4 linked regions of the Elephas maximus indicus genome follow. The protein of the gene in region 4 purifies or fractionates together with the protein of the main gene of each other region. This does not show direct contact. Links are inferred from orthologs where the notes say so. Each region holds a gene or a part of one and is shown on either strand. Other genes may lie near its edges.

The links.
Region 1: the proteins of CRKL (region 4) and GAB1 purify together in Homo sapiens (affinity purification with western blotting; 3 studies listed by BioGRID and IntAct, with this or other methods). This does not show direct contact. The link is inferred for Elephas maximus indicus from reciprocal best matches to the Homo sapiens genes CRKL and GAB1.
Region 2: the proteins of CRKL (region 4) and GAB2 purify together in Homo sapiens (affinity purification with western blotting; 3 studies listed by BioGRID). This does not show direct contact. The link is inferred for Elephas maximus indicus from reciprocal best matches to the Homo sapiens genes CRKL and GAB2.
Region 3: the proteins of CRKL (region 4) and RAPGEF1 purify together in Homo sapiens (affinity purification with western blotting; 16 studies listed by BioGRID and IntAct, with this or other methods). This does not show direct contact. The link is inferred for Elephas maximus indicus from reciprocal best matches to the Homo sapiens genes CRKL and RAPGEF1.

The regions. Positions count from the first base shown.
Region 1 is NC_064831.1:41,427,838-41,434,734, reverse strand, and holds the start of GAB1 (GRB2-associated-binding protein 1), read left to right. Parts: upstream 1-3,880; 5' UTR 3,881-3,891; coding exon 3,892-3,963; intron 3,964-6,897. UniProt on the Homo sapiens protein: Adapter protein that plays a role in intracellular signaling cascades triggered by activated receptor-type kinases. Plays a role in FGFR1 signaling. Probably involved in signaling by the epidermal growth factor receptor (EGFR) and the insulin receptor (INSR).
Region 2 is NC_064825.1:43,711,002-43,718,624, forward strand, and holds the start of GAB2 (GRB2-associated-binding protein 2), read left to right. Parts: upstream 1-4,622; 5' UTR 4,623-4,732; coding exon 4,733-4,807; intron 4,808-7,623. UniProt on the Homo sapiens protein: Adapter protein which acts downstream of several membrane receptors including cytokine, antigen, hormone, cell matrix and growth factor receptors to regulate multiple signaling pathways.
Region 3 is NC_064827.1:82,641,623-82,648,992, reverse strand, and holds the start of RAPGEF1 (rap guanine nucleotide exchange factor 1), read left to right. Parts: upstream 1-4,353; 5' UTR 4,354-4,483; coding exon 4,484-4,544; intron 4,545-7,370. UniProt on the Homo sapiens protein: Guanine nucleotide-releasing protein that binds to SH3 domain of CRK and GRB2/ASH. Transduces signals from CRK to activate RAS. Involved in cell branching and adhesion mediated by BCAR1-CRK-RAPGEF1 signaling and activation of RAP1.
Region 4 is NC_064840.1:21,415,770-21,422,822, reverse strand, and holds the start of CRKL (crk-like protein), read right to left. Parts: upstream 3,014-7,053; 5' UTR 2,483-3,013; coding exon 2,172-2,482; intron 1-2,171. UniProt on the Homo sapiens protein: May mediate the transduction of intracellular signals.

The sequences.
Region 1 (6,897 bases), on a different chromosome or scaffold from region 4:
TTCCATTTCACATATTGGGAAACTGAAGCTCGGATACACCGTGTAATTTGCTCAAGGTCATGATTTGAAAAATCGATGACCTGAAAAATGAATCCAGATCTAAAAACCAAGCCCTTGTGATACTCAAAGTACCTGTCAAAAGATGAAGGGCTCAGACATGGATTGGACTGGACAATGGGTTGGAGAGGGATGCTGGTGAGGAGTGAGCTTCTTGGATCAGGTGGACACTTGAGACTATGTTGGCATCTCCTGCCTGGAGGGGAGATGAGAGGGTGGAGGGGGTTAGAAGCTGGCGAAATGGACATGAAAAGAGAGAGTGGAGGGAGAGAGCGGGCTGTCTTATTAGGGGGAGAGTAATCTGGAGTGGGTAGCAAGGTGTATATGGGTTTTTGTGTGAGAGACTGACTTGATTTGTAAACTATCACTTAAAGCACAATAAAAATTATATATAAAAAAAAAAAGATGAAGGGCTCTAAACCTCAATGGAACCAGACCTCTTCTGATTTTATTTTTTCTACATACTAAGCTCTTTATGTAAGCTGAAGATAGGTTTAGAATACCAGCTTTATTTTCCGATAATTTACTTACTAGGTTGCTAAATTAATTCTATTTTCATAGTATTTTTCTGATACGGGTTACAGTAATGGAGATATTAACTTAATGGAGAGTTACTGAATGATGAAGCCATTTACGCTTGTGTAATGGGGGTGTCATTTATCAGTGCCCCAGTTTAGGAGTCTGGGGCTTGCACAATTCAGCAGCCTCTCTGCTCTTTCTTCAGAGTCTTTCTTTGCCACACTTACAGGTGCCCAGGGGGCTCCATTTGGACTATGATGTAACCAGGAGTCCGTGGGTGGTGTAAACAGTTAATGTGTGTAGCTGTGACTGTAAACCAAAAGGCTGGTGGTTCCAGTCCATTCAGAGGTGCGAGAGAAGAAAAGCCTGGTGATCAGCGGTGTCGCTAGGGCTGGTGTCACCCAGTGCAGTAACTCAGGTATCACCCACCCCCCAGGGAGCTCCTCCTGTACCAGATCATACAGAAGCCTTAGTAATGTTTTTTGTACTAATGTTACTTATGAATCATAATTCTCATATATGACTCCTTTTCATTTAATTACTACTTCATTCTCAAAAAAGTTATTGATAGAGGTTCACAAACACTAATTACCACAATATTGTAGCTAAAACACCAGAAAATTTGGCAAAATCGGCGACTATAAAAACACTGGGAGCAACAAAAACAATATCGTGTGCTTGCTGCATGTGTAGATGAAACCAGCGTGATTTGCAGTGTCATTGCCATTGGCTAATAACGACAGCTCTGATGGGATCGCATTAGACTGTTCAAAAAATAAATTAGCATAGTTTTAGCCTCCTAGGTATATTAACACATGTAAGCTGGGCTTATGAAAAATGTTTCTGTTGTTGTAACTAATGAGATTTTTTATAGTCATTTTGGTGACATTCCCTCTGACAGTGTCACCTGGTGTGCCTCCTCCCCCATGCCTCTACATCTGAAAAAATTAGCCATGGAAAACTCTATGGAGCACAGTTCTGCTGCGTCACACAAGGAAGGGGTCGACATAAGTCAGAATCAATGCGCCGGCAACTGGTTTGGATTTTTTGGTTGTACGAAGTAATTCTTTGCTTATTCTTTCTCCAGTTCTCTCTATGGTTAACTCTTTTATCCTTCAATAAACCAATTCTGATTCTCCTCTTTCTTTAGAGCATCTTTCAAATCTCTGGCTAAATACCTCCTCAAGACCTAGTCCCACCTGTTATTCTTTACCTTGCTGTGTTTATTTCCTTCATAGCACATTTATCACAATCTGTACTTATGTTGACCTTTTATTTGTTTACTATCCTATACCACCCAGGGCTTCACTATTACCTTAAAGGAAAGGTTGGCAGCTCAAACCCGCTCAGAGGTGGTTCGAATCCACTCAGAAGCAGAAGCTCTCTAGTTTGAAAAGGTCACAGCCTTGAAAATTCTAAGGAGCACAGTCTTACTCTGCACACATGGGGTTGCCGTGAGTCCAAATCGACTTGACGGAAAATTACAACTACAGCCTTCTAAAATTTGTTTTGGGGCTTTATTTTTCGTAAATAAATTGGAAAATGTATTACATTACAGGATCATGTTACACTCAAGCCCAGGTAAAATAATTGTAAAACACACAAACAGGCAAGTAGAACAGAACATTCAGTAATTTTCCCTTTTCTAGCCAAACATACCGGGCAGGGGTTGATTTTAACCAAATACAAGTGGAAGAAGCTGACAACAAATGGGGTGAGCGAAGGACTTCAAATTCTTTGGCTCCATGAAGTGCTCCCACCACTTTCGCGGCGCCGCCAGGGACTCTCCCACCCCAGTCCTGGCGGTCCCCAGGACGCCATGCAGCCGTCCTAGACCCGGCTCTTCGGTCTCTCGCGGCGGGAACCCGCGGAGTCGCCGCCTCCCTACGACGCCGGGGTCTCTGTCTGGCCTCTTTGGCTTTGTGGACAGTCAAACACGGAAAACCCCGAAACTCCCGGTCTGGAGCACAGTACGCACTCGGAACTGACACCCGGGCTAGCTCAAGGTGGTAAGCCCGGCACTGAACATGTTAACGTTCCCCGCCCCTCCCCGCGCCCGAGCCCCGCCGGGGTTGCCCTCGCCCGGCCTCCGCCGCCTTCCCAGGCGAGGGGTACTCTGGGGGCTCCCACCGACACCATCGCCGGGCGGCCGAGATTCTGCTCTCGCGTTCCGAACTACAGATCCCAGGGTGCCTCTCGGACTCCGGCTCCCTCCCTCCTTAGTTCGCTCCCTCCCTCGTTCTCCTCCTCCTCCTCCTCCAGCCCTTGTTGTTTTGGCTGGAACGCTCCGGCCGAGTTTCAGAGAAAGTCTAGGCAGAAACCGGAGCCGGGCCCGAACTGGGAGGAGAAGGAGAAAAGGGAGGAACAGCAGCCCGGAGGCCAAGAGAGGGAGGGATCGGGCCGGGACCCGTGGCCGCTCAGAACCTGCCGCGCACCCCAGGGTGGGGGAGGTGGCGGGGGAGGAGCGTGAGGGGACGGGACAGTGGGATCCCTCCCCGCAGCCGGGCGCCTCATTCCTCCGCCGTTCCCCGCCCTCATCGGCGGCGGCGAGAACGGACCCACCCTCTGGCGGGACCTGCGCCCTCTCCGCGCCCGCACCTCGTCGACGCGCCGCGCATCGCCGCCGACTGGGCGGCTCCCTCCGCGTCCCGGGACCTTGCCTGCACCCGCTGCACGCGGGACCCTCTCAGCTTTCCCTTTCCTCCCGGCTTCCCGGGCGCCGCAGAGAAGCGAGCCGCCCTCCCTCGAGGAGGACGAAGGACTGGATTGCGCAGGGCTCACCGAAACCGAGAGCGGGCGAGCGGGAGTAGGCACCGCGCGGAGCATTGTGTGCGTGCAGCGGTGTCTGTTTCGGAAGGCTCTCTGGGGAGGTTCTGTCCCGAGGGGGCGGAGCGCAAGGCACCGAGGCGCTGGCTCCTTGTCCGGATAGAGTCCCGCGAAGACGCCGGCCCAGTTGAGCCTGAGCGCTGCTGAGGCGGCCGGTGGGACGGCGCGCCTGGTGGCGAGGCGGGCGCATTAAGGAGAGGCCGGGGCGCCCTCGGCCCCGCGGCAGCCGCTGCCCAGTGCGGTCGGCAGCGGCGGAGCATCCCGCTTCTGCTCACATCTGTGGAGCTGCCAGCGAGACGCTCGGACGCCGGGAGCCCCGCGCAAGAGCGGGCCGAGCGCGCGTTGGGAGCTCGCCTGTCCTGTCCGCGGAGGGTGCGCGGCCAGGAGAGCTAGGACCTCGCCGTTGTGCGCCCCGCAGGCGTCGGCTGTATCGGGAGCGCGCCTGCCCGCCCCTCAGCTGCCCCGCTCAGGGCCGGAGAGGTGTGCATCATGAGCGGTGGCGAAGTGGTCTGCTCGGGGTGGCTCCGCAAGTCCCCGCCGGAGAAAAAGTTGAAGCGTTATGTAAGTAGAGGCTCTGCCAGCGGCACCCGGTCCCGAGCTGGCTGGCGGCTGCAGCTGCTCGCGCGCGGGGCTTTTTAATCCGCATCTCTTTTACCCTCGGCCCCTTCTCCCATCAGGCTGGGGACCGGGTGCTGTACACTCACGCCCTGGCTTACACTTCACTTCGCCTGGCAACTTTCTTCCTCCAGATTCCGGACGGCCTGCATTTCGGGCCTTACCGCCCCATAGGAGGGCCCAGGGTTTCCAGATGAACTCCCGCTGCATGTTTTTACTATTGCTTCTAGCAGTTGTGGGGTGGGGTAAGGCGGGGAGAGGCGCATTCTCCTTTCTTTTTATCTTTCTGCACCTAATTATGGGGGTGGTGGCACTAGGAAAACCGTAGGGGCCGCCAGCCCTCTTTGGTCCACGCTCTTTCTTCACTTCCCTTGGAGGTGGGTTTCGGGGAAGGGACGGTGGAGCTAAGAAATTGGTATCGGAGACAAGCATCTCATGTCTGCGCAAAAAGAAAAAGTTCTTAACGCGCCCTACCGTTTGCTTAGCAGGGTTCACATTTTCGCGGTTTTGAATTGAGGGACATTGGAGTTTGGCCCGAGAGCCCTGGCGGTTTGCTGCGAGAGGAAGGCACTGGGGGGAGCCTGCTGGCTGGTGTTTGGGCGTCTTGAACGCGCTGTCAAGCCCCGCAGGAGGGGACAGCTGAAGCCAGAAGGAATTTCTGTGTGTTGCCAATCTTTCCCAGGGCACCAGCGTGGCTTAAATGGCATTTGTGTAATTGATACACGATGCTGTTGGAAAAAATATTCCTTGAAAGAACCAACTTTAGTGGAAATCTATGTCCTCTTCAGGCGTCTGAGATCTCCCCGCCCCCATTTTTTTTTTTTTTTTTTTTTTTTGTCGCTGCCTCCTGCAAAGGAAAGAGAGAACACTTTTATGCTGGCGTACGGAGCAAATACTTTTTCTAGTAAAATTTTAAAAAGCAGTATTTATGTTCACTCAAATATAAATTTTCTACCTGGGACTGACACTTGTGCTACTGGAACCTGTTTCTTGTTGGAGGATATCTCCATCCAGTATTAGAGCTGAAGTTAATCGTATTAGTCACTGTTTGCTTTCATGGAACAGACTGAAGTGCAATATTTAACTTCACTGACAGCTCACCAGTGAGTTTCTGGTTTACTTTTGCCAGAATTTGTTATAGACAAGTAATTCTCATTTCAGGGATCGATGCCATAAATCCTAAGAAAGTTCTCCAGAGATTTTGAATCCTTCCAAACTCTGTCACTCCACCTGTCAACTGTTTGTCTGCATATCCTGGTAGAGATACTAGCTTTATTCCAAAAATAAGGGGAGAGGCAGTGGTTTTTTCAGCTCTTGGTTCTAAAGGGATAGGTGTGTGTGAGAGGGGGGTGGGTAGGGAGCTGGAGGTATGTTAGTTTCGAGAAGACACAATTTAGGAAAGACATGCAGCTGTTGTTAGTTGCCACAGAGTTGATTCTGATCGTCATGACCCTGTGCTTGCAGAGTAGAACTGCTCCACGGGGGTTTCAGGGCTGTGACCTTTTGGAAGTAGATAGCCAGGCCTATCTTCCTAGGTGCCTTTGAGTGGGTTCCAACTGCCAACCTTTCCACTAGTAGTCTAGTGATTAGGTTCTTGGGGAACTAGGTATTGGTAATAGAGGTTTGTTTAATGCATTCTTTCACATGTTAGTTATGGCTTTTTCGAAAGACGCTAAGTACTCTATTAGGTACCATAAGGTTAGAAAATATAGGCGGGTGGGGGGAGTCCTGCCTCTTAGGCTTGCAATGTAATGTAGTATAAACCAGAAGGAAAATCAACCAAAAAGATTGTGTCTTAACAAGGACAAAAAAAAGGAGGTTCAAATGTGTGTGTGTATATATTTTATTTTTATTTTTTTCTTTTTTGACCCTTATTTTATGAGGTAGGTATTATCTCTGTTTCACAGGTGAGAAAACAATCTATCCAACCAGAACATGCCAGAGGCAGGATTTGAACCCAGGTCTACCTGACTCACTGAGCTGTAAAAGGTTAATGAGGCTCATCTAGTTCATTTCAAATACGGGGCTTGGACTAAATCATCCCTAAAGGTTCTTTCCGATTATAACTTTCTATGAGTCTGTGGATATTAGTTGAGAATGCCAGGAGGAAGTGGGCTGTAGAGCAGATGTGGTGTGCAAAAGAAATGTCAGACCTGGAGTTTGCCTTGAAGCAGCTTTTCGAGTCTTCAGGAAGACAGGCATATGTGAAAAATGAACCAATAGTGCAAAGTAGTTTATGATTATGTGCCCAGGTTGAGTGGTATGGATGCTTTGTAGATGTGTTTCAAGGAACAAGTTCAATGTAGTCTGGAACCATGGGAAGACTAGAGAGACAGTGGACTCATATTTGTGTTTTCCCTCAGCGGAGGGAAGAATATACCCCTAACAGCTGGGGAAAGGCTGTTTTTTTTTTTCTTGCCCAGTGGAGCACTAGTGTATTTTCTTTACGTAGTAGTGGAATGTGCTAAGATGGCCCAGGAAGACGGTGGGCAGGGTGGCTCTCAGCTGAGGTAGCTAAGAGGATGAGGCAGAGTGTTTAAGTGAGGCTTGTCTCATTTTTTAGCTGTGAAATTGGTTGCCCAGAAGATGTTGCCATTCCCAGATTATTGTTGATCTTTTGGCTTAGGTATCCAATTTTTTTTTATCCAATTTAGATTGTTTTTGCTAAAGCAGCTTTTGACCATTAATGATACCCAAAAACCAAAAAACCAAACCCAGTGCCGTTGATTATGTATATATGCATTGCCTATGCCTGTTCTCTTTTCACGTAGAATCTTTATTTTCTGGATGAAAGGAAACATTGTTGGCCACCCAGTGGGCAAAACGTTGCTTTATAATGGTTTTTAATGAATGGATTTGCTGTGAAAAGATATCTCAGAT
Region 2 (7,623 bases), on a different chromosome or scaffold from region 4:
CTGTGATAACCTGATTTATTAGGTCCAGTGTGAATACAAAGAAAAGAATGAATATGCTGGGGAGTAGGGATGGTGAGAGGAGCCCTGGTGGCAAAGTGGTTAAGAGCTCGAGTGGTTAAGAGCTCAGCTGCTAACTGAAAGGTCAGGTAGCTGGAACCCACCAGCCACTCCTCAAGGGGAAAAAGACTCAGCACACAGCCTTGCATACCCCATGTGCAGTTCTACTCTGTGCTGTAGGGTCGCTATGAGTCAGAGCCAACTCCACAGTCATGGGTTAGTTAGGGATGGTGTGTTTTAGGGACAGGGGACTTAATGTATTCAAGATGCAATCTAAGGTAGGAGTTGTCTCTGGGTGCAACTGATTTGCACCAGGATCTGTGCAACACAAACCTTCACCAGTGGCAGTGGAAATGTCCCGGGAGCCTAGCTGCCACAGAGCAATTAGTACAGACTCTGATTCTTTACAAGGGAGAAACTTGGAAACTGGGCTTGCTCAAACTTTTCTCTTAGAGTTTATTTCCAAAATATCTCCCACTGGGTGTAGAATCAAGTAACTTCAGACTGTGAGCAGCCACAGACAGGGAGGAAACCCAAGTAGGTTCAAATACACCCCAAGCTTACCACCAGATAGATCTCAGCCCCAACCAGATGCCAAGAGTTGACCTAAGTCAGAGGGTAATTTGATGGAGGGAACCAAGTGGGCCCAAAGCCAAGTGGGGTTAAAAAGATACATATTGCAACAAGACTGCGAGACAAGTGTCCTGCAAGTCCTCTGTTGAGGTGGCTCAGCTGGTCACACTGATCTTGCAAGCAGCACTCAGCTCTGAAATTAACCTGTCTTTTTTTTTTACTAAATCGAAGGGGAGAAAAGGCAGAAGGGCTAGGACACAGCTATCCATCCCCACCCCCTGTCCTATCCCTGACGTCAGGCTTGGCGTGGGTGGTATTAATCACCCCAGCCTGGTGTGCAGTTGAGGACAGCTCTCCTCCCAGCCCTTCCAACCCGGCTCTGGGAGCGTTCCACCAGCCATGCACCTGCCGCTGGCCACAAACCCTCAACTCCCAGACAGGCACGGATGCAGGCTGTCGCTGACAACACTCAAAGCCACAGTGCACCCTTTAAAACCCAGGCTGTGGTGGGAGGAGGGGCGGGAAGCAACAAAACGTGGTACTTACGCTTTCCTCCCAGGTGTGAATTTCTCTAACCTCTGCAATGTCCCTCCCCACGACCCTGCCCACAATAGGATGGTCATTTCCTGGAGATTTAATGAGAATATAAAATTAATGGCCCAAAGAGCTCCTTGGAGCCGGTCATTAATTCCCCCAGGAAACACCCCAAGGTCTGTAATCGAAATTGCCTAAATTATAGGCCAGCGATGCATATCCACGCAGGGCAGGGGGCTAGGTGGGGGGCAGGCAGATATCGTCCCATGTGGTTCCGGTAGGTGGCGCCTGCCTTCATGTAAATAAATCACTCAAATAATTTGTTTTCCATTTCTCCGCAGCAAAAACCAGACAGCATTAAAAAAAAAAAAAAAAGCAGGGGGTGGAGAGGACTTAGTAAAGGCCCAGACAGGAACGTTCTGTCCGAGGGCTGTTTCCAGGCCTGGCACGCATCTCAGGCTCCGAAGACTGAGCCATACCGGAGTGCAGCCAGGGAACCTCAGCTGCAGTCGGGTCTCCTGTGTGCAGACCGTGCTGGGGTTCTGTGCTAGTCACTGGCAGTCAATGAAGAGAGATGTGGGTGGGAGTGGGGAGCGAGAGAGCACACAGAAGAGCCTCTTTCTCCGACCTTTGGGGAAGGAGGGAGGTGTTACAAAGAAAACTTCCTGAAGCCTACACTCTGTGACTGCTGTGTTTTAAGGCCTCTTCTGTCATTGGCTCTGAAACACCCAACTTTTCTATTTGCACATAGAATTGTAAATAACAATATGGGGCCTTTTGGTAAACAAAAGACTCTAACGAGTTTCTGGCAAAATGCTACCTAACCTCAGCTAACCATTGCTGTACAGATGCCCAGTCTGTATCTTGAATCATGTAACTATCAAAGGATATATAATAGAAGATTAGTGTTCTAGGGAAAGATAAGGCATCTGTATGCCTGACTTGCATCACAAATCTCAGCTGCAGCCAAACCATGCAGTTTTCTCAGACTCTTTGCAATCCCTGAGACGTGGCATCATAACTCAGATGTGAATGAAGTCAGAAAGATTGTTTTATTTCAGTTGGGAGTCACTGCCTACTGATTGATTTGGCAGACTTTGAGTATTTTTATATTTACATCTTACAGGATTTCAGTGTACTTTTAAACCCAGAGGTTAAAATGGCCATAAGTCTCATGGTGGCCCTCATGTGGCTGAAGGATCTCTGAACCGAAAGGCCAAGGGAGCTCTGGTTTCATCTATAGCATGAATGTCCTGGCTTTAAATTCTGTCCAGCAGCATACTGGGCAGCGAAGAAGTCCATGAAATGTTGGGTCCCGGAGAACAGATCTTTAAATCTCCCAAGGTGCCTAGAAGGGCTAAGCACATTGTGCAGGGAATAAGTTCTGACACACTGATTGAAGTGGGTGAACATCCAACCCAGCAAAGATTTGTGAACCCAGATGGATATTCAACTGCTTGAAATAAGTAGATTAACTGCATGAAGACAGCAAAGTGAACAAAATAACCCTAGCCACAGGTTGCACAGGGCAATGTGAAATGCTGCTTCTTTAACTCACCTGTCCATAGCACAGTTCCCCATTGATAAAATGGGTTACTATTCACTTCTCAGAGCCGTGGTGGTGCATGGTTAAGAACTTGGCTGCTAACCAAAAGGTTGGCAACTGGAATCCACCAGCTGCTCCTTGGAAACTTTATCAGGCAGTTCTGTTTTGTCCTATAGGGTAGATATAGGATCACTATGTGTCGGAATTGACTTGACAGCAACAGGTTTGGGATTTTTGTTTTGTTTTTGTATTCATTTCTCAGAGCCTCTGGGTGGTGCAAACAGTTAAAACAATGAGCGGTAACCCAGTGGTTCCAGGTCTGAGGTTCAAATCCACCCAGAGGTACCAAAAAGAGACAGGCCTGGTGATTTACTTCCAAAAATCAGCCATTAAAACCCTACTGAGTACGGTTCTACCCTGACACGCAGGGAGGTTGCCATGAGTCAGAGTCCACTGGGCAACTGGCTTGGTATCCACTTCTCAGAGAACTTAGGGTTGGAGCTACGTCTTAATGCTGCTTGTAAAGGTACCTTGCAAATTGAAGAGTTCCTACCTAAGGTATTTTTTTCCCTCCAGCCTCCCCCGCGAAGGGCTGGTGTTGTCAAGTATGTGTTCCGCGTACTTTATCTCAGTTAAACCTCACTACGATTCTGCAAGAGAAGTGCCATTATACAATTTACATATGAGCCCCCTCTCACCCTTCCAAAGGTCTCATAGTGCATTTGAATGAGTTAGAACTCTGGAGAATTTTGACCCTAATTTTTTATACTTTCCTCTGTGACACCATGCTTTCCAATTCACCTTGGAATGTTGTTGGTAATAGGTGCCGTCAGTGGCTCCTGACTCATAGGGACCCCATGCACAACACAATGAGACTACATTGCTCTGTCCTTCCCCATTTTCACAGTCCCTGCTATGTTTGAGCCCATTGTTGCAGCCACTGTGTCAATCTTCTTGAGGGTCTTCCTCTTTTTCTCTAACCTTCTACCAAGCATGATGCATTTTTGTTTCCTTGATTCTGCAAATCATACAAGTTTTCTTCTACTGAATTCTGTTCTTCCAGAGGCAGTGTAGGAGCCAGCTGGACTTTGTTTCCTGACAGTAAGAGGCTCCCAAGCTGATACGCAGACATCAAAGCCCTCTTCCCACTTGAAAGCAGATGAGCAGGATTCCGCCTTCCCTCTCACAGCCCTGGAATTAGGAATCTGGCTCTGCCAGGTACCAGCTCTGGGACCTTAGGCTGTCTGTAAAATGGGAATAATCTTCCCCGCCCAACTTTTAGTTTGCTAAGACAATCATGTGAACAGTGAATGTAAAAGCGCCCAGAACACAGAAGATCTGCTTCCTTCTTTCCTTCTCCCGCCAAGGGGGTGCGAGAGTTAATGAAACTCTTGATGGGAAAAAGCGGCAGACTAATTCCAGCCGGAACCTGACCCGCTGAAACCTGAAGCTCTGGGAAAGGATAGGTAACGCTAACAGGACTCGGGTCCCAGCCAGGTCGACCCTCTGTGAAAAATCGATCCTCAGTCGAAGTCTCGCAGCCCCCTACCACTCACCCTCCCCCCAGGGGCGCGGCCACCTCCCCCAGCCCTCCCGGGCTTGCTGCTTGAAGCTTCAGGGAAAAAAAGCAAGACCTCGGGGGCGCGGCCGGCGACAGCTTGCGGCGTCCGCAGCGACCTCGGGCCTCCCGGGCGGCCAGGCAGTGTTTGCGTCTTTGAAGGCGGCCCGCCGGGGGGCGCGGCGGGCTGTGGGCGTGGCGAGCGCGCGCCGCCGCTTCCTGCTGGGGCGCCCCCTCCGCGGCCGGGCCCGAGTGCGCTGGGCGCGGGCGCGCGAGCCAGAGCGGGCGCGCGCGAGCGAGGCAGCCGGGCTCGCGCCGCGCCGCCTCGTCCTCGCCCCGCGGCCGCCGGCGGCCCCGGCCCGTCCCCTCCCCCGCGAGCTGCGCACCGCCGGCCGGCCGACCCAGCGACCCGCGCCCGCGCCCTCGTCCCCCGACCCGGCCGCGGGCTCCAGTCGGCCGGCAGCATGAGCGGCGGCGGCGACGTGGTGTGCACTGGCTGGCTGAGGAAATCGCCCCCCGAGAAGAAGTTGAGGCGCTATGTGAGTGCGGACGGCGAGCGGGCGCGGCCGCCCAGGGCGCGGGCTGGGGGCGCCCCACCGCCCTTGAAGGGGCTGGGGGCTGGCCGAGGGGCCGCGCCGACGAGGGGCGGGGCGCGCCTTTGGGGTGGAGAAGCGGCTGGTGCGCCCCGCGCCCGGGGGATGTGTGGGGCACCTGCACACCTGTCACAGGTGCGCCTCCGAGGGGCGGGGCGGGCGGGGCAGCAGGTTGAGGCTGCGGCTCCTCCGCTTGGCGGGCGCGTCGGCGGCACCTCCCCAGCCAGCCTGCCTGTAAACTAAATACAGTATTGAAGTTTGTATTGATTGTTTTTGGAGACCGAGAGAGTTGATTCCCTGGGCTGGGGGAGCATAGTAACCCTGAGTGGGTTTTGCATGTGGGGTTGGAGGAGTGGGCGGAAGAGGGGGGCGCAAGCTGTGGGGCCGCGTGGTCCAGCCCCCACAAAGGACGAGGCGCCTGACACCCTCTCCCTCTTCCCTTTCTCTGCCCGCCCTCCCGGGTAGCCGCCTGCTTCCTTCCAGTCCACAGCCTCTGTCTGCATCATGGGCAGCGTCAGCGGCATGTGCAGCCCTTGTATTAAGTGACTCATTTGTTTGTCCCCCCTTCTTTCTCTTTATTCTGCATGTCTCTCACATACACCCCCCCCCCATGGTGACATTGCAGTTTGGTCTCCTCTAACTGGCCCAGGTTTTGTGTTGTGCAGCCCTTGGTGTCTGGGGTCGGAAGAGATAAGATTCTCAGTTGCCAGGTGGTGCTAACCGACATTGTTTACTGAAATTGCTGGGACAGCCGCTCCCCTCTAGGTGAGGAACTAGCAACATCAAGGAGGAGGTAGTACAGTCTGGTGCTGAGCGGTGAGGAGTTCTGGCTTTTTTTTTTTTTTCTCCCACCAGAGGATGTATGTTCCTGTAGAGGTCAAAGTACAAGACGATGCCAGTCACAGAGATTTGCCCGAAATCGGCCCTGGGGTAATCTCAGGAGGAAGGATCCCGGGAGGAAGGTCGCTAAAGGGTCTCAAGGTCTCCCATCTTGTCCCCCTTCACTTCTTATGAAATGCCCTTGCTAGACTGATTCCTGGTGCTTGACTCTCTGGGATCACTCCCACAGCCTGGAAGTGAGCTGCTGCCTTCCAGCTGCAGTGCATCAAGGGAGCTCTGAATAGACCCTGCCCTCTGTCAGCTGCACCAGTGGCTGTCCATGGGGGGAGAGGCAGAAGCTTACCAGAGTTTCCTGTCTTGGCTCCCCAGATCAGAACCAAGGGACTTTTGGCCTCTGGACTGAGGAAGTGACATTCTGTTTTTCAAAGGAAGTGTTGTTGTTGGGGAGTGCAAGAGAGTGTCTGTGTGTGTGTGTGAGAAAATGAAATCGGGCTCTTAGATCATTTGCTGGGGAAAATCTAAGGACTCGCACATGACTTTTCAAAGCGGACGTAGATTTAAAAATACAGTAGGAATTAGGGGATGAAGTGTTTGACTCAGTTTTAAAGTGCATTTTCCAGGGTACCCGTGTAGCCTCAGCATTATAATTGCTAAGAAGGAAATTTTTTCCACATCAGGGTTTTATCAGTTCATCAGGGAAGTTGAGTTTTATATTAGGGTTAAGGAGGAATTTGTAATTAACATTTTTATAAATATCGAAAAAACGAAATCTCTGGCTCCGAAAAGCTTCCAAAAATTATCAATTGAAGTGATTTCATACCAGCTAGTAGAGTGTCAATAAAAATGTGACCCTTAATTGTCAAAGTAGAATACTACCCTAAAGAACCTTGAAATTTTCTTTTTGAAACATTTTGCAAACAATTTAACACTGTATCTACATTGGACTGGTGACTACTTCAGCCCTATTACCCAGACTCTCTATGACCCATTTCTTGGGTATTTTTGTTGCTGGGCAAAAATTTAGTTCAAAATAATCAAGTTTGGAGGCTTTTGGGTCAGGACCTTTTTCACATGTTGGAACTAGTTGACACCTTGAAGTCATAATAACGATCTTAGTCTATTTCTAATCTTCCTTGCAGCTCTAGCCCGCAAGGCAACTGACCAAACCAGCAACAGCTTTTCTTAGACTAGGGTATCATGTGCTCCATTGGTATGGCTGGAAGCCTTTCCTGCTGTGAAAGTTCAGTTCCCTGGTTGAGTCTGTGTCGTTCTGTATAACCCTAAACTCCTGAGGAATAGTCTACCTTTACATGTACTTTTCCTTGGTGTTGAGAATTTCTGCACCCTGTTGTAAGTTAGAACTCTGCTGGTTCTCTGTTCATTGTAGGTCCAAGTTGGTTAGAAGCAAAGTTGGAATGAGTTATTTCTCAGCTTCATTGCCAAACCAAAACAAGCAAAGAAAGAAACCAAACCCATTGTCATCCAAGATAGCAGTTTGGAAAATAGATTACAACTATTTAAAACTTTTTAAAAACCTACCTTTTTGGGTTAATTTCAGATGGTGGTAAGTGTAGGAGGAAAAAACAACTTGGGAGAAGCTTTGGCAAGTGTTATTGGAGATTAGGGATTGTCCCCATTGACATTTTCTGTTTTATTAATCATGTGAAAGTATTAAAGGTCTATCCAGTATTTTCTGTGTGCCCAGAGGAATTGCAAATAATGACCTCTGGAAAATGGTGAGTATTGCCCTCTGGGGTGTCATGACGTTGTTGCAGTGAGAGGTTGACAGGAGCAACCGAACACCCCTCCTTCAGACCTTGTAAACTTAAAGGCCCTTCTCTAGTATGTATGTATCTGTATCTGTGTGTATAAAACCAGCTGCTGTCGCGTCGACCCCGACTTACTGCAGCTGCGTGTGTGTC
Region 3 (7,370 bases), on a different chromosome or scaffold from region 4:
GAGGGGGGAGGCGGGTGAGGGGAAGAAAGGCACTTCTCCATTACGAAGTCCCAGGGGGGAAAGGGTTATTTTGATCCCGAGCGATAGGTTAGAGGCTTGCACTTAACTTTCACAGATCTAGTGCTGCTTCCCCTGGCTCTGGAGGCTTGTGCAGGCTCCCTGCCACTCGGTTTCTCCCCCTACCCCCTCAGTGCTGGTTTCTCCCAGCATGGTAAAATGCATCCCAAGCGCTACTGCTTGCCTCAGCCCACCTGCACCAAATGATCCAGCCTGCAAGGTGCCAGCTAGGTCAAGTCTGGCACTTCTTCTCTTCTTCTGAACTGTCTCTGTCTCTCCTGGCCACTCAGTCCAAGTCCTCAACTTTGTCTTTGATGTTTAGGGCTCCTAGATTGTCATATGTAATCAATTCACTTGTTTTTTCAGGTCTTTGTTGTAAGAGGGGCCACACGAAGCATCTGACTATTACACCATCTCGCCCCGCCTCCCTCAGGAATGTTCAGGATATAGTTCTTCCATCAGGACAGCCTCCTCTCTCTGGCATCTCAGCCTCTGCTCTGCTAGGGCAAGTGTTACAAAGCTCTTTTAGCTTTGCCAATAAGTGCTCCAAGGTACCCCACTCTGCTAGTAAGCTGCAGCCCAGAGGTGCTCAGCTCTAGCTCCATGGGTTGGCACACCTAGCTCCACCAGTGCCCAGAGGCACCCCATCCCTCCAACAAGCCTCTTGCCCAAAGGTACTCAGCTTTCTTGCTCTGTGGGCTGAGCTGTTTCTTGCTGGTCTCCTGCTGCTGTTTCTCTGCTACTGTTTCTTGCTGTCTTCTGTGTTACAGCTCTCTATCTCTCTCTCTCTCAGTTTCCTGGTTCTGAGAGATTCTCAACACAGGTATCCTGGGTTCAAAGGATGCTCACTACTCCTGGCTCTTCTTTCTTGGTGGTAATGAGATCCTCTCTTTCCCACCTCTGGGATGGCTCATCTTAAGCCTAAAGGGATGGCAAAACTGATCAGTCCTCTTGGTGGGCTACAATTACCTTATTTGCACAGTCCTGCCAAATCACTTGGGTGGGAGTTACAAGACCATGGCAAGAAAGGCCATGCAAAAGTGATCCATTGCACAGCAGGCTGGTACATGCAAACTAGATCCAACAACCCAAGCTGAAGTGAGCCCCGGTACCATCAGCATCACTTTGGCTGCTTCTTCCCCTAACCTCACTGGATTCCTGTTGTTCCAATAGCCAAATGTTGTATGCAAAATGCCTAGAAGAGGGTGTGACTCCTTTGGGAAGGCCTTATCTAGTACATGCTCTTGGAGCAGACTCCTGGCCACCTCGCCGTAGTGGTCATCTGGAATGTTCTTCTGGAATGTTGGGAAAAGGCCCAACAACAGCCATTCAAGTATGGCTTGAGCTCCTTCTCTGTGCTGGATTTGGCGATGCAGAAGTACACGAGCCAGGCACATTCCCTGCCTGCTCACAGTCCCCTGGAAGGGGCAGACATTAAACCAATAACTGTACGAGGAATCAGTGAACTATCTGGAGGCATGTACTTGGAAGGAGTACACCTTCTCAGCAGTCTGAGGTGGCGGAGATGGACATCTGTGGTTTTGCCTCATCAGCATCTCTTCCTCTGATGCTGCTTTGAGCAACCACCCTTTCCCACCCCCAGGCTGCTGATTCTGTGGCCCCCTCTCCAAACTGGAAATTCGCACAATCCATAGGCTGGCCAATCTATGCATTTTGCCCCCTTGTCTGCAGTAACTGGCTCAGCAAAAGGCATGTGACTCAAACTAGGCTAACGAACATCCGCCATGAGATTTGTTTTGGAATTATGGTGAAAGGGACACTCTTTTTCCATTGGGGTTGTAAAGCTGGTAGGTGACAAGCCTGGGGCAAATAGAACCCAGTCTTGTGGGAGAACAGTTTTGAATAAAGGCAACACAGAGATACAATATTGTTGTTTAAGAGCTTGAATTTAGCTGTGTTTGGACCTGGCTGTATCCCTGGTTTGGTAGCTACGATATTCAACAAATTTCCTTTCTTGCTCTGAGCTAGGTCTCTGACAGTGAAATTAAATGTCTCGACCATTAGAGGGCTGTCCCCACTGTGGGAGTCAAGGATGAATTCCTGGAAGAAGTAACCGCTGAACCAAAGAGCAAAAGATGACTAGGAATCATCCAGGTGAAAAAGAGGAGAAAGAACGTTCTAGACAGAAGGAGTAGCATGTGAGAAGGCCCCCAGGTGGGAAGAACATGACTTCAGGAATTTGTTTGCTTCATTACCCTGTATGTGTTCTACTGTAGATATAAATTAAAAACCAGTTGCTGTTCGGTCGCCCCCTACTCATGGGCACCCCGTGTGTGTCAGAGGAGAACTGTGCGCCATAGGGCTTTTAATGGCTGATTTTTTGGAAGTTGGTTGCCAAGTCTTTCTTCCAATCTGCCTCTGGGCGGATTCGAACCTCTAACCTCCAACTTTTCGGTTAGCAGCTGAACACATTATCTGTTTGTACCACCCAGGGACTGCATAGATATAAAGATCTTTGATGAATAGCCTTTTTAAAATAAACTCCACAACCCTTACTTACAATAATGTCCATTTGTAAAGTGCCTTCATGTTTGCAAATCCTTTGTTACTTGATATGTCATGATTTATTAAATATATTTGGTTTTGCTCTCATGAATCCCTGCCTGAACCCAATATTCATTCAGTCTAATTTTCTACTTCTCACTCAGAATTTCAGATATAAAATACTGGCCCCTTTCAGTTCACAAGCCTAGAAGAATTGGGAGCCTAGAAGTCTAATGAGTGGCAAGGAGGTGGGCACAGGGCCGGGGGCCAGTTGTGCCTGGCTGTGCATCTGCCAAGAGAGCTGAGCACTGCCACTCTGGCTCAGAGCAGCCATTCATCAGCTCAAAAAGTGAAAGGAGTTCCTCAATCTTTGGCTTAACCTTTAACCCCATAGAGGGCTGGAGCTGACAACTCTGGAAAATTGGCTGCCATCTACAGCTGTCTCTGAGTGACAAGATCAGTGGCCCATCGGAGGGTGAGGGGAGATGCAATCTGGAATCTCTTGCTATATCAACCACCTTTCCTTTCTCCCTGTACTTCCCCCAAATCCTGTCCCTATCACCAGCTTATTTAACTGTTAATTCACCTATTTTGAGGGAAACAGGAGGGAAAATTGGTTTAGTTGGTTTTATGTTACTTCTTTTGAACATTCCTTGTATTGTTAAAATTTATTGTTACTTGCGTTATATGATTTAACTTTGACTCCCCAGCTAAATTATGGGATCTTCAGAGGGAAGAATCAACCATGTGCATTTTTTAGGACCCACAGCACCTAATTCAGTGCCTAGCCCTAGTACTCATTGATTCTTAAATGAATGACTTAAATTTTTTTTTATTGTAGTGTAAATATACATAACAAAACGCCCACCATCTCAACAATTTCTACGTGTACAATTCAGTAACATTGATTACGTTCTTCAAGTTAAGCATCCATTCTTGCTATTCTTTCAAAATCATTCCATCACCATTAAATGAATGACTTTTAATGAACTCATCACCATCCAAAAAAAGCCCATGGCTGACAGGTGAGCATGGCAGGAAAGGATTGCTGGCTGCCTGATGGGGTTGGGCTCAGGCCTTGGCAGGAAGGCTGGGTTGCAGGGGACACCAAGCCCCCGGTGGAGTCAGGCCCAGACCTGGCTAGGTGGATTCTGCTGTCAGGGGGTGCGGAGTATCAGGCAGGGGGAGGGTTAGACCAGGCTCAGGAGACACAGTGTTGAGTTCTGGGTGGGGTCCAGCCTAGGCCCAGGTAGGTGACTCTGGCTGGCAGGGGGCACTGAGTACAGGCTGGAGGGATGAGTCCCAGGCTTCGGCATGGACTCCAGCCAGCAGGGGGTGCTGTATCCTGGGTAGGGGGAAAGTACCCGGCTTTGGCACGAGACTTCAAACTGGTAAAGAGTGCTGTCATGGTTTGAGGGGGGTCAGGGGACAGGGAGCACCGAGCCCCGGGTGGCGTCAGGCGTCAGGCGTAGGCCCAGCCTGGTGACTCCAGCTGGCAGGGGGCGCTGAGTCTCTCTGTGGGGTCAATCCCGGGACTTGTCATAGAGACTCCAGGCCGGCAGGGGGCACTGTGTCCCGAATGGGAGTGTCAGGCCAGGCTCCGGGCCGGCGGGAGCCCGGCAGGTGGCGCTGTGGCCGCGGCCGAGGCCCGGCGGGCGGGCGGCGGCGCGGCGCTGCGGCCGGGCTCGCGGGCCCGGGGTAGCGGCGGCGGCGGCAGGAGCGGAGGAGGCGGAGCGGCGGCTGGCGGCGGGAGCGGCGGCGGCGGCGACCCCGGGCGGGCTGGAGCGCCGGTCGCCGAGCGCACAGGCCGCGGCCCGCGGAGCCCGCCATGCCGGCGCGGGCCTGAGGCGCGGCGAGCCAGGGCCGAGGCGAGCGGCGGCTGCGCCGGCCTGTCGCCCCGCAGCGGCCCGGCTCGGGCCCGATGAGCGGCGGCCTCGGCCTCCGGCGCAGCCCGGAAATGTCTGGCAAGATCGAGAAAGCAGGTGAGGCGGCGCGGGGACCGGCTGACTTCGTCCGGCGCCGCGGGCCGCTGGGGGCCGAGGCGGGCGCGAGCTGCCTGCGGCCCGCGTGGGCCCTGCCGCACTGCCGCTGCGCCCTCGCCGGGAAGGGGTTCGGATTCGTGCCGGGATGCGAGCACCCCTCTTCTTGCCCGGGGAGCAGAAGTGAAACTGCCGCCGAGGCCTAATTGGGGCGCTTTCCAACTTCACATTCAAAGGCCGCTTTCAGCCGGTGGGCTGGTTGCTCTCCGTCCTCTCTCCCGTGGGCTCGGCCGGCTGCAGGAGCGGTGGCCGGAGGGCGGACGCAACGGGCGAGACTTTTGGGGGTGGCATTTCGGAGGGCGGTGGAGGTGGGGGCCCCCTCCCTCAGCAGCCGGGGGTCTCCTTTGTGGGTGCTGCCTTGGTCTCTTAAGCAACTTTCAGAAAAATGGCCTGAACCTGGGGAAGGGGAAGAGAAACCCCGGCCGCGTGTCTTCGGCGGCTCTGAAGCGCTGTGCCGGCCTCGGGGCTTGTTTGTCTTTCCGAAGGCGAAGAGTGGAGCTATAAAATGTGTCATTGCTAATGAGCCTCGGGTTTAAATTTAACTTAAAGTATCCACTTCGGTTGCTTCAAAGGAAGCAGTTAAGGTGTGTTTGGGTATTTTTCCGGGCTCAGTCAAGTTTTCCTCTGTTATCAAGCTTCAGTCTGGAAGCAGGGCATGTGGGGAGCAGGTTGGCTTTGAGCAGCTTATAAATCTTGATGCAAGCCTCATCTCTTTGTGTGTGCCTAGAAATCTTGTGAGTTGCCTTCTGATTACCTGGTTTTGGCCTATACTAGGAATAGACTCTCTGAAGATTCAATTACCGTTGTGCATATGGGGCCCAGGGCTTAATTAGTTGCGACACCTCATGTAGTGAATTCTCGGGTCCAAGGTGAAGTAGATGAATGGTCCAAGACTCTTGTACTAAAAACAAGTCTGGTTGTCATAATTAGGATACCAGGTTAGCTTCATAGCTAAAATGTGGAAGGCAGGGAGGGTTTTAGGAAGCCGTAAAGGAGCCCTGATGGCTAAGTGGTTAAGAGTTTGGCTCCTAACCAGAAGGTCTGCAGTTCTAATCCAGCAGCCTCTCCTTGGAAATCCTTCGGGGCAGTTCTACTCTGTTGTTTAAGGTCACTATGAGTCAGAATTGACTCGATGGCAATGAGTTTGGTTTTTGGTTTAAAGGCGGTAGGTAGCATTGATTTTGGAAGTTCGCTTGTGTATTTCCTGGGTTGAACTGGAATACTTCTCTGGGGTGCATCTCTTGAGTGGACCCAGAAGACAGTGTAATTTTGCAGTCTGTAGTTGAAGCACAAGAAGGGAAGTAACCTTTATTGAGGGCTTGCTACGTATCTGGCTCCCTGTCAAGCACTTTAAACATATTCTTTAATGGAGCCTTGCAGATCCTCTGTGAGAGAGAATACGGTCCCTGTTGTACAGGCTCAGAGAGGTTCAATGAGTTGCTGGGGGTCATCTAGCAAGAGGGCAGCAGGGTGGGCATTTATGCCTGGTCCTCAGATTGGAAGGTTGGGTGTCTTCTGCACGGGGGTGGTCAGTTTCAGGTGTGATTTCCTGCATATTTTTGTCACTGTTTTTCAGCCTCAGGGCCTTGCCCAGTGACCATAAGTCACTTCCCTGCACACGTGCTGTTCCAGAAATATCTTGAGTTAATCTTTGAAGCATTTTTTAGGAACGTCTTGTATAGTATCTCATCGGAATGGTATTATCAGGAAGCTTGGATGATTTAATTTTAAAATAACATTAACTGAATTTTCTTTGATTGTATGAGTATACCTGGAAATCATGGAAAAGTAAAAAGAGCTAAATGAAAAGCACTTCCAGTCCCGTGAATTGCTTTCCATGGCTCAGACCTGTCTGGATGAGCTGACTTCCTTTGAGTTCTCTAAGACCCAGAGAAAGGACTAAAGTCAGTTTACATTAGCATAAGTTATCTCTGGGCCTTCTCTGGACACTGCACTCTGCCAGGTGCTGTGCTGGATGCAAAAACCAGTAAGTCAGGAAAGCTTGTCTGAGGGCTGGAGAGCTGGACCTGGGGTAACGCGTGGGCTACTTGGTATTATACCTGTGCTGTAGCAGGAGTCAGCTCCAGTGGGCACCAGGTAAGGAAGGGGCCTTATCAGTTGAAGGAATTAGGAAGCTTCTTGAGGGGATGGTATTTGTGCTAGGCTCTGAAGAGAGAGCAAGGTTTCCCTGGGTGGAGGTGGATATAGGAAGAGAGCTGAGTGAAAGGGGTTGACCAGGGGCTGCAGAAAGCACGGGTGGAAGATGGGTTTGGTGGGAGCTGGCAAGCAAGAAAGTTCTCAGTGGTTGGGAAGACCAGGGTGGTATCTCAGCTGGCTTTGGAATTACAGATGTGGAGCTAACCAGAAGTCCAGATGATGTCTTTTATTGCATAAGGTTTTCTACTATGACCCATATGCTTTGGAACACTTCTGTAATGAAGGGTTGCCCTTCCTGGTGGTTTTTACTGGTCATTACAGTGGTGGACAGTTCGAATCCGCCAGGCAGTCCTTGGAAACTCTATGGGGCAGTTCTACTCTGTCCTATAGGGTCGCTATGAGTCGGAATTGACTCGATGGTAGTGGGTTTGGTTTTTTTTTTTTTTCAATAGGTGAACTTCACTTTGCTTTTGTAAGAGGTTACCTGTTAAATTTATGTTGGAATTTTCTAAATAGACCTAATGCTAAGTTATCCAAAGGAAAGGTCTTTAGGTGAAACGGTGACTTCTCCTAGCAAGTGAATAATGTCTGGTAAATTTCAGAGCGGGAACT
Region 4 (7,053 bases):
ACTAACATGCCAAACCAACTCTCAAATGGCAAATCTAACATGTCAAACTTCAAGCTTGGGAGAGGGAATTCAAAGATTCAGCGTAACAAAGTAAATCTAATCAGGACCCAATTCAAGGTGCATTGTGACTGCCTGAGATAACAGGGAAAATGAACACCTAAATTACAGCAACAGGCTGGGAGTGGCAGCACAGAGAGAAACAAAGCTGAACTGTGAGAGGGAGGGCCTGGCTCTGCAGGGTCAGGAAAAGGTCCACTATTTGTGAGGGGGCTAGAACAACAGGTAAGATTTCAATAGGGAAGTGTGGGGCGGAGGCAGGCATTCAATGAAGATCCAGCAGCCCAGGCAAAGGCATAAAGGTTTGAATTGGGATGACAACCAGGGGACAATGGAGCAGACTAGTGGGGCTATGCTAAAGGAAAGATGAGAGGGGCTGTGCAAGCAAAGGAGACAGAAAGACACATCTGGTATTTGGGAAGACACATCTATGGAAAACCTGGCCTCAATTTTGTGGGAGTGGGAGTCATTGAAGCATACTCTTTTTTCCCTCTAGAAGGGGATTGTCCCATTCGCTCCCATTTTTTGAAACATCTACATGATAGTACCCGTAACCTCAATGTACGAACAAGACCTTGCACATACCAAGGCTGAATAAATGCCTGAAATTAATTACATCATTCACCTTCACAAATTAGGAAAGTTAATTTACTTATATTACAATCTCATTACAGTGGGTTCCAAGATTCTGTCTAACCCCTTATATTAGAATTACATTGTACTCAAAGTTTACCGGTTTCCACCAGTTAGATTCTTGGTGTCCTGGTCTTTGTTTAACAGTATTTGAGTATTAATCACATTCTCCTGGTCCATTTTGTCCAGCAGTTAATCTTAAGGCACTATACTGTCACGGCTTTGTTTTGTGTGTCTCTATCCCACAGAACCAAAAATTTGGTTCCGTTAGTGCTCCGTAATTTATTTTAATAGCTTTCAGTGTTTAAAGTTTATAAATAAAATGTTATCTACCTATGAAAAGTCAGAAACATCTAAACCTGAAAAATCTACTCCAATACCTTATCCTTTTAAAATACATATTTAACAAACAAATCAGGTAGTGAAACACCTTTTAGTTAAAAAAATTTTACACAATTTCTTCAACTCATATTTAGCATTCTTTTAGCAAAAGAAACTTCACAGTATCAGGAAACCGGATAAAATACTTATTACGGCAAACTAAAGCAAATGGTCAAGTAAGACAATGCATTTTACTTGGAAAAGAGGATGTTTGATGCTCAGTGTCACTGTGGGTTCTTAACCTAAAAGCAGATATTAAAATCACTAGACTTAAAATAGAAATTACATTTGAAATTGAACTAGGATAGAATTAAGACAAGTGCCATTCAAAAATCTCCCTTAGTAAACATGCTAGCCTTATTCCACCTCGGGACTTAACCAAATGGATCTCTAACCTATTAATAGTCCAGCTTGAAGAAAACGGAAAACACATTTTCAAAAAAGAAAAGGCCCTCGCTGAGGCCAAAGTATCTTTTATTTATTTATTTGGTAATTTATAGTACTGTAAAATAAAAGATGTCTGGCCCATGTCAAACTTAGCGCCGGGTTATCAATATACAATTTTGATACTTCAGCTTAAGGTCTTTGTTTCTAAACGCTAAAGCGTATTCATTTCTCAACCGTTCAAAGGTTGCAGTTCAGGGGTTCTTAACCGGGAGCTCAGAGATCCGCAAGGAGCCCAAGAACCTCGAACGGTGTGCATACGTGTGTACGTGCATTTTGGGGGAGAGGGGAGGATACTATGGCTATCTTCAGATTTTCAAAAAAGTCTGTGGTCCAGAAAGAGGTTAAAAAAACAAAAACAAACAAAACCCTGTTTTCGTGTGATTGCCAAATAGACAAAGTGACAAAAGGCAAAAGGCGTACATTTTTAACTATGCAACCACCGTTAAACATATTTAAAACGCATGCTCTCATCCACAGTGACCCAGATCCTCACACAGACCTTCTGTTTGGAATACGTTCTGGAAAATAATTTGGTTCCGAATGGGGGACAGGAGTTCCAACCACCATCCCCCACACTCCTCGGCCCCAAGCGAACCAGCCTGTCCATTCTCCCACCTCGTCCGCGGGCGGGGCGGGGCGGGGCGGGATCGTACCTGGGCGCGGGCTCGATGAGGGTGGTGGTGTCCAGGTAGTGGATCTTGTAGAACTCCAGCAGGGCGGGCAAGTGGTCAAACTCCTGGTCCCCGATCTTAAAGCGGCGGTTGGGCAGCGAGTTGATGATGTAGTGGGAGACCCGCGAGTTCTCGGACACAGACAGCACGTAGTCCCCGGGGCAGGTGGAGGAGTCGCGGACTAGGAACATACCGTGGCGCTGGCCCTGGAGCCGAGTCTGCGCCTCCTGGCGAGACACTGGCCCCATGTACCAGGCGGAGCGATCCGAGGAGTCGAACCTGGCGGAGGACATGGTGTCGGGCCAGGGGCTCTGTGGACGGTCGGGGTGGCGGCTGCTCTGGAAGCCTTTGCCTGGCAGATGGCTTCGGAGCCGAGGAAGGGCCTCCCGGCACACCTCGGGGCGCACTCAGAGGGCTGGGCCGGCACCTGCTTCGCGGCGCCGGGCCCGCAGCATTCTCCGCCGCCGCCCGCCTGCTCCGGGGCCGCCTCACAGAGAAAGCCGGCCCGGGGAACGCGGAGCAGAGCCGGGGGACGGGGCTGGCGAAGGCGAGACCCAGCGGAGGCCGCCCTGCGGGTCTCGGGCAGACCGGCGTACCGGGAGTGCCTCCAGTGACTCCCAGCCTGGAACGCGCCGCCGCCGCCCCCACACAGCTGCGCACCGACCCCAGCCGCCACGCGAAACACCGGACTGCAATGAGCGTCGCCCCTCCAGGGCAGTTTTGCCCAGTCCGTTCCCAAGAGCCACAGCAACAAAATGGCGGACGCGGGAGAAGCGGCCGGCCACCTCCCCCTCCGCTCAGCACGCTCCGTCTGCGCACGCGCAGCGCTCTGACTCCCAGCTGCCGCCGGGGCCCTCCCGGTGACAATGCGCGGCGCAGCCAATCAGGAGCGCAGCTCGGAGCCGGGGCGTGCACCTCCCGAGCCCGCTCCCGCCTTCCGGGAGGAGGGGAAGGCGGCGGCGGGCACTCCCTTCCTGGGCCGCGGAGCGCCGCAGGGGGCGCTGCTGTCGCCCGGTCGACCTGCCCTCCTCGCTGGCAGGAAAACAGCTGGAGCCGTGGGGGAGCGGCATTTCGAAAACCTGCTTCTGGGGAACAAAGAGTAAAGTGCGGAAGCTATGCGGAGAAATAGGCCGAATCTTCAGCCGGGGAGGCGTGGCGCTGAGGCGACCTGGCCGGCCGAGGGACCCGAGGGGCCCCGCACTGAGGGAGACCGACAGGCGGACAGGTCCCGATGGGTCGCGGTGACTCAGGAACGCGGTGGGCCGGCCGGCTGAGGTGACCCTGGGACTGAGATGTCACCAGATAGGTGAAAAGGTGGCCCAGGCCCGAGGTGTTAGTTGAGTTACCGTACGGGCACCAAGGTGGGTGTGAAGGTTGGATTGACAGGATCAAGTGGTCTGGGAAGCCTGGAGGGCGTCTGGCCATCACTCGGTGAACTGCTGCAAGTACAACGCCAACGCCTTGGGATTCGGCCTGCTTCTCCGACTTCATCTCCGACCGTTCCCCTTCTCTTACCCAGCTCCAGCCGTGCCCTCTTAACCTATTTCCACCCCCGCTAGCATGTGTATTTTAAGAGAGCAGATATCTTGGCTGTCTTGTTCACCCTTGGCCTAGAGTTGATGCTCAGATATTTGTTGACAGAATTGAGAAAGACCACCAAGCTCCTGGTGCCCGATTATTGGTAGCATCACCCCTGGAACTGGGCAGGCAAGAGTGGGAGAAGCAGGCAGCACAAGCCCATACCTAGATCCCTGTGCCAATGGAATTTTACTTGGCTGTTTGCACCCCCAGGTTAAACATATCCTAGACTGTAGGGTGACGAGTGGAGTCCGTCCTAGGGTAAGGAGAATGTCAAGGTCTAATGCCTTCAGTGACTCAGCATAAGTAAATTTTCATCTTCCCCCAAATGCGCTTGCATGTTGTATTAGTCTGAGGTACAATTTGAATAGCACAGAATTTGAAGCTGAATGCTTGGGTTCAAATCCTGGCTCAGTCACTTGACTAGCTGGGTAGCTTGGGCAAGTTACTTGATCATTTTGTGCCTCAATTTGATCTATAAAATAGGGATAATAATAGCACTTACCTCCTAGGTAAAAGTAAGTATGAAGGAATGCAAGTTAATACATGTAAAGTGCTTAGAATAGTGTCTGGCACATGTTAAGCATTATGTAAGAGTTTTCCATTATTATTATTCAGCCTCTGCCTGGGCCTCTCCCTCTATAGGCTAAAAGCATGTGCAGATCTCTAAATGGGTGAGTGAAGGCTGGGAGAAAAACCTCCATATGATTTTCTGTTTACTTTTCACTGCCAGATTTTACCATTCATCATCACCCACTCCTTGTCCAGCCTTCCTGATCTAGTTTCTACCTGTACTTTGACCGAAACTGGGCTCTTCAAGGAGATTACTGATCTCCAGTGAAACCATTATTCTTCTGGATCTCCCTGGCCACATGTGTTTATATTGGAAATGTCTTTCTGGAAAGACTTCTTTTTTTGGCTCCTGGAACAGTAACATAGTTTTCTTCCTACCTCTCCAAATATACTTTTTCAGTCTCTTTCTATAGCACTTTTGTCTCCAGCTCCTGAGTGTAGAAGCTCAGTCCGTAATCTGCCTCTACAGTGCCTCCTTTGATAGACTACTCGTCCTGAAGGCATTAGGGGTCACCTCCCTGTTGATAACTCCAAAACACATATATTCTAAAAGTAAAACAGAAAGTGGCCACACCCTATGATTACTATGCAAACACAGTAATCACAGCCTAATACAATTCTTATCACATTGTATTGTAAATGTTTACACGTATCAGTCCCGTCCTAATCTGTGAGCATTTTGGAGGCTGACTATAGCAGTATTTTTTATATTCCCAGTGCCTAGCACAGTGCCCCACACATAATACATACTTAATAATTTTTTTTAATATATATGATGAAGTAAAGAAGCCAGAGAAAAGCAAAAATTTATTTCAGTGACGATAAGGAGATTCTATGATTGTTTTCTGTTATTAACATAATAAATTTATTTAAAATACATAGTTTGGCTCCATATCTCCCTCTGTGTTTAATCTTTCATTTGGATTGAACTCTGCCTTTCAACTTCCCCTTTTATGGCAATAACACCACTGTTTTCCTAATTTCCAGGCTTAAAATTGGAGTCCTCTTTTACTTAACTGAAGAACTCAATAGTGATACCTAATTTTGCTTTTCAGTTCACAAAACTTCATATTGTATTACTTAATCCAACCAAAGTCCTATGAAGTACGCATTTACAGACGATCCAGAGGCCCAGAGAGGCTAAGTGACTTGCTTCAAGTTTCATAATTTGCAAGAGGCAGAGCTGCCATTCTTATTTATTTTTGGCGGCCATGTATACAACCAAATACATCCATTTAAAATTTCTACATGAACACTTCAATGACATTGGTTGCATGACATTTGTCACCATTCTTACTATCTCTACCCATATTTCATCATAATTAATTTAGGCTGTCTGCCCCTTGAAGTTCTCATCTGTGCTTTAGATTAACGGTTGTCAGTTTAAACTCACACAGATAATTCTTTAGAAGAATCAATGCTCAAGGCAAACATTCTTTAGTAATTGGGCTAAGCTGTTAGTTTAACAGTGACTTAATGGGATAGTTTCAGTGCAAGATTTAAAGATTATTTCTGGGCATTAGATTTGGGTGTTCCAGTCTCAATGGATCCAGTAAGTCTGGTTTCCATATGAATTTGAAGTTCTGTTCCCTGCTTTTCCTCCACTTGATCAGGATCCATCTGTTGGATGATCAAAACATCTTGTAATGGTAGTCAGGCATCATCCATTTCTTCTGGTCTCTGTTAATGGAGGTAGTAGTTTATGGAGGCAATTAAGCCTGTAGACTATTTCCTTCACCGATTCCCGGGTCTTTTTCTTCCTCTGCTGGTCCAGAACAATAGAGATCAGTTGTATCTTGGGTGGCTTTGTGCAAGCTTTTAAGACCCCAGGGGCTGCTCATCAAACGAGGTAGAAAAAAACTCTAAAAACAACGTTAAACCAATTGACTGGATAGACCCATGAAGTCATGACTTTGAACCAAAAAAACTAATCAATGAAGTATTTAATTGTATCTAAGTATTATAGTATCAACAGGTGCAGCTTTTTTTTTTTTTAATCTTTTGGCTGTTGTAAAATTACGTACAATGCTTTTTTGCCATTTGACCTTTTTTTATTTTTTAACCTGGCATACAGCTTAAAACGGTAACAGCTACATTAGTCTAGTTGTGTAACCACTACCCTTAGTCAATGCCAATTTTCCCATTGCCATAGACAAAAATTCACTACTTCCCAGTGCATGAGTTCCCCTTTGCCTCCCTGCCTCCGGTAACCACTAGTAATCGTTCCTCTCTATGTAATTACTTATTCTTGTCATTTCATTAAGTGAGATCATACAATATTTGTCCTTTTGTGATTGACTTATTTCACTCAGCATAATGTCTTCAAGGTTTATCCATATTGTAGCATGTGACAAGACTTAAATTTTCTTTGAGGCTTGATAGTATTCCATTGTATGTATGTACCACATTTTGTTTATCCATTTATCTGTTGATGGACACTTGGATTGTTTCCACCTTTTTGCTATTATAAATAATGCTGCAGTGAATATCAGTGTTCATGTCATTTCTTTTAGGTTCCTAGGGTATGTACATAGGAGTGAAATTGCTGAGTCATATGGTAATTCTATTTTTATAATCTTTGAGGAATTGCCATACAGTTTTTCCACAGCAGTTGTACCATTTTACATTTCCAGCACCAGTGGATAAGGGTTCCAGTCTCCCCACATTCTCACCAACATAGAGCCAGTATTCTTAAACCAGGTCTTTTGACTCA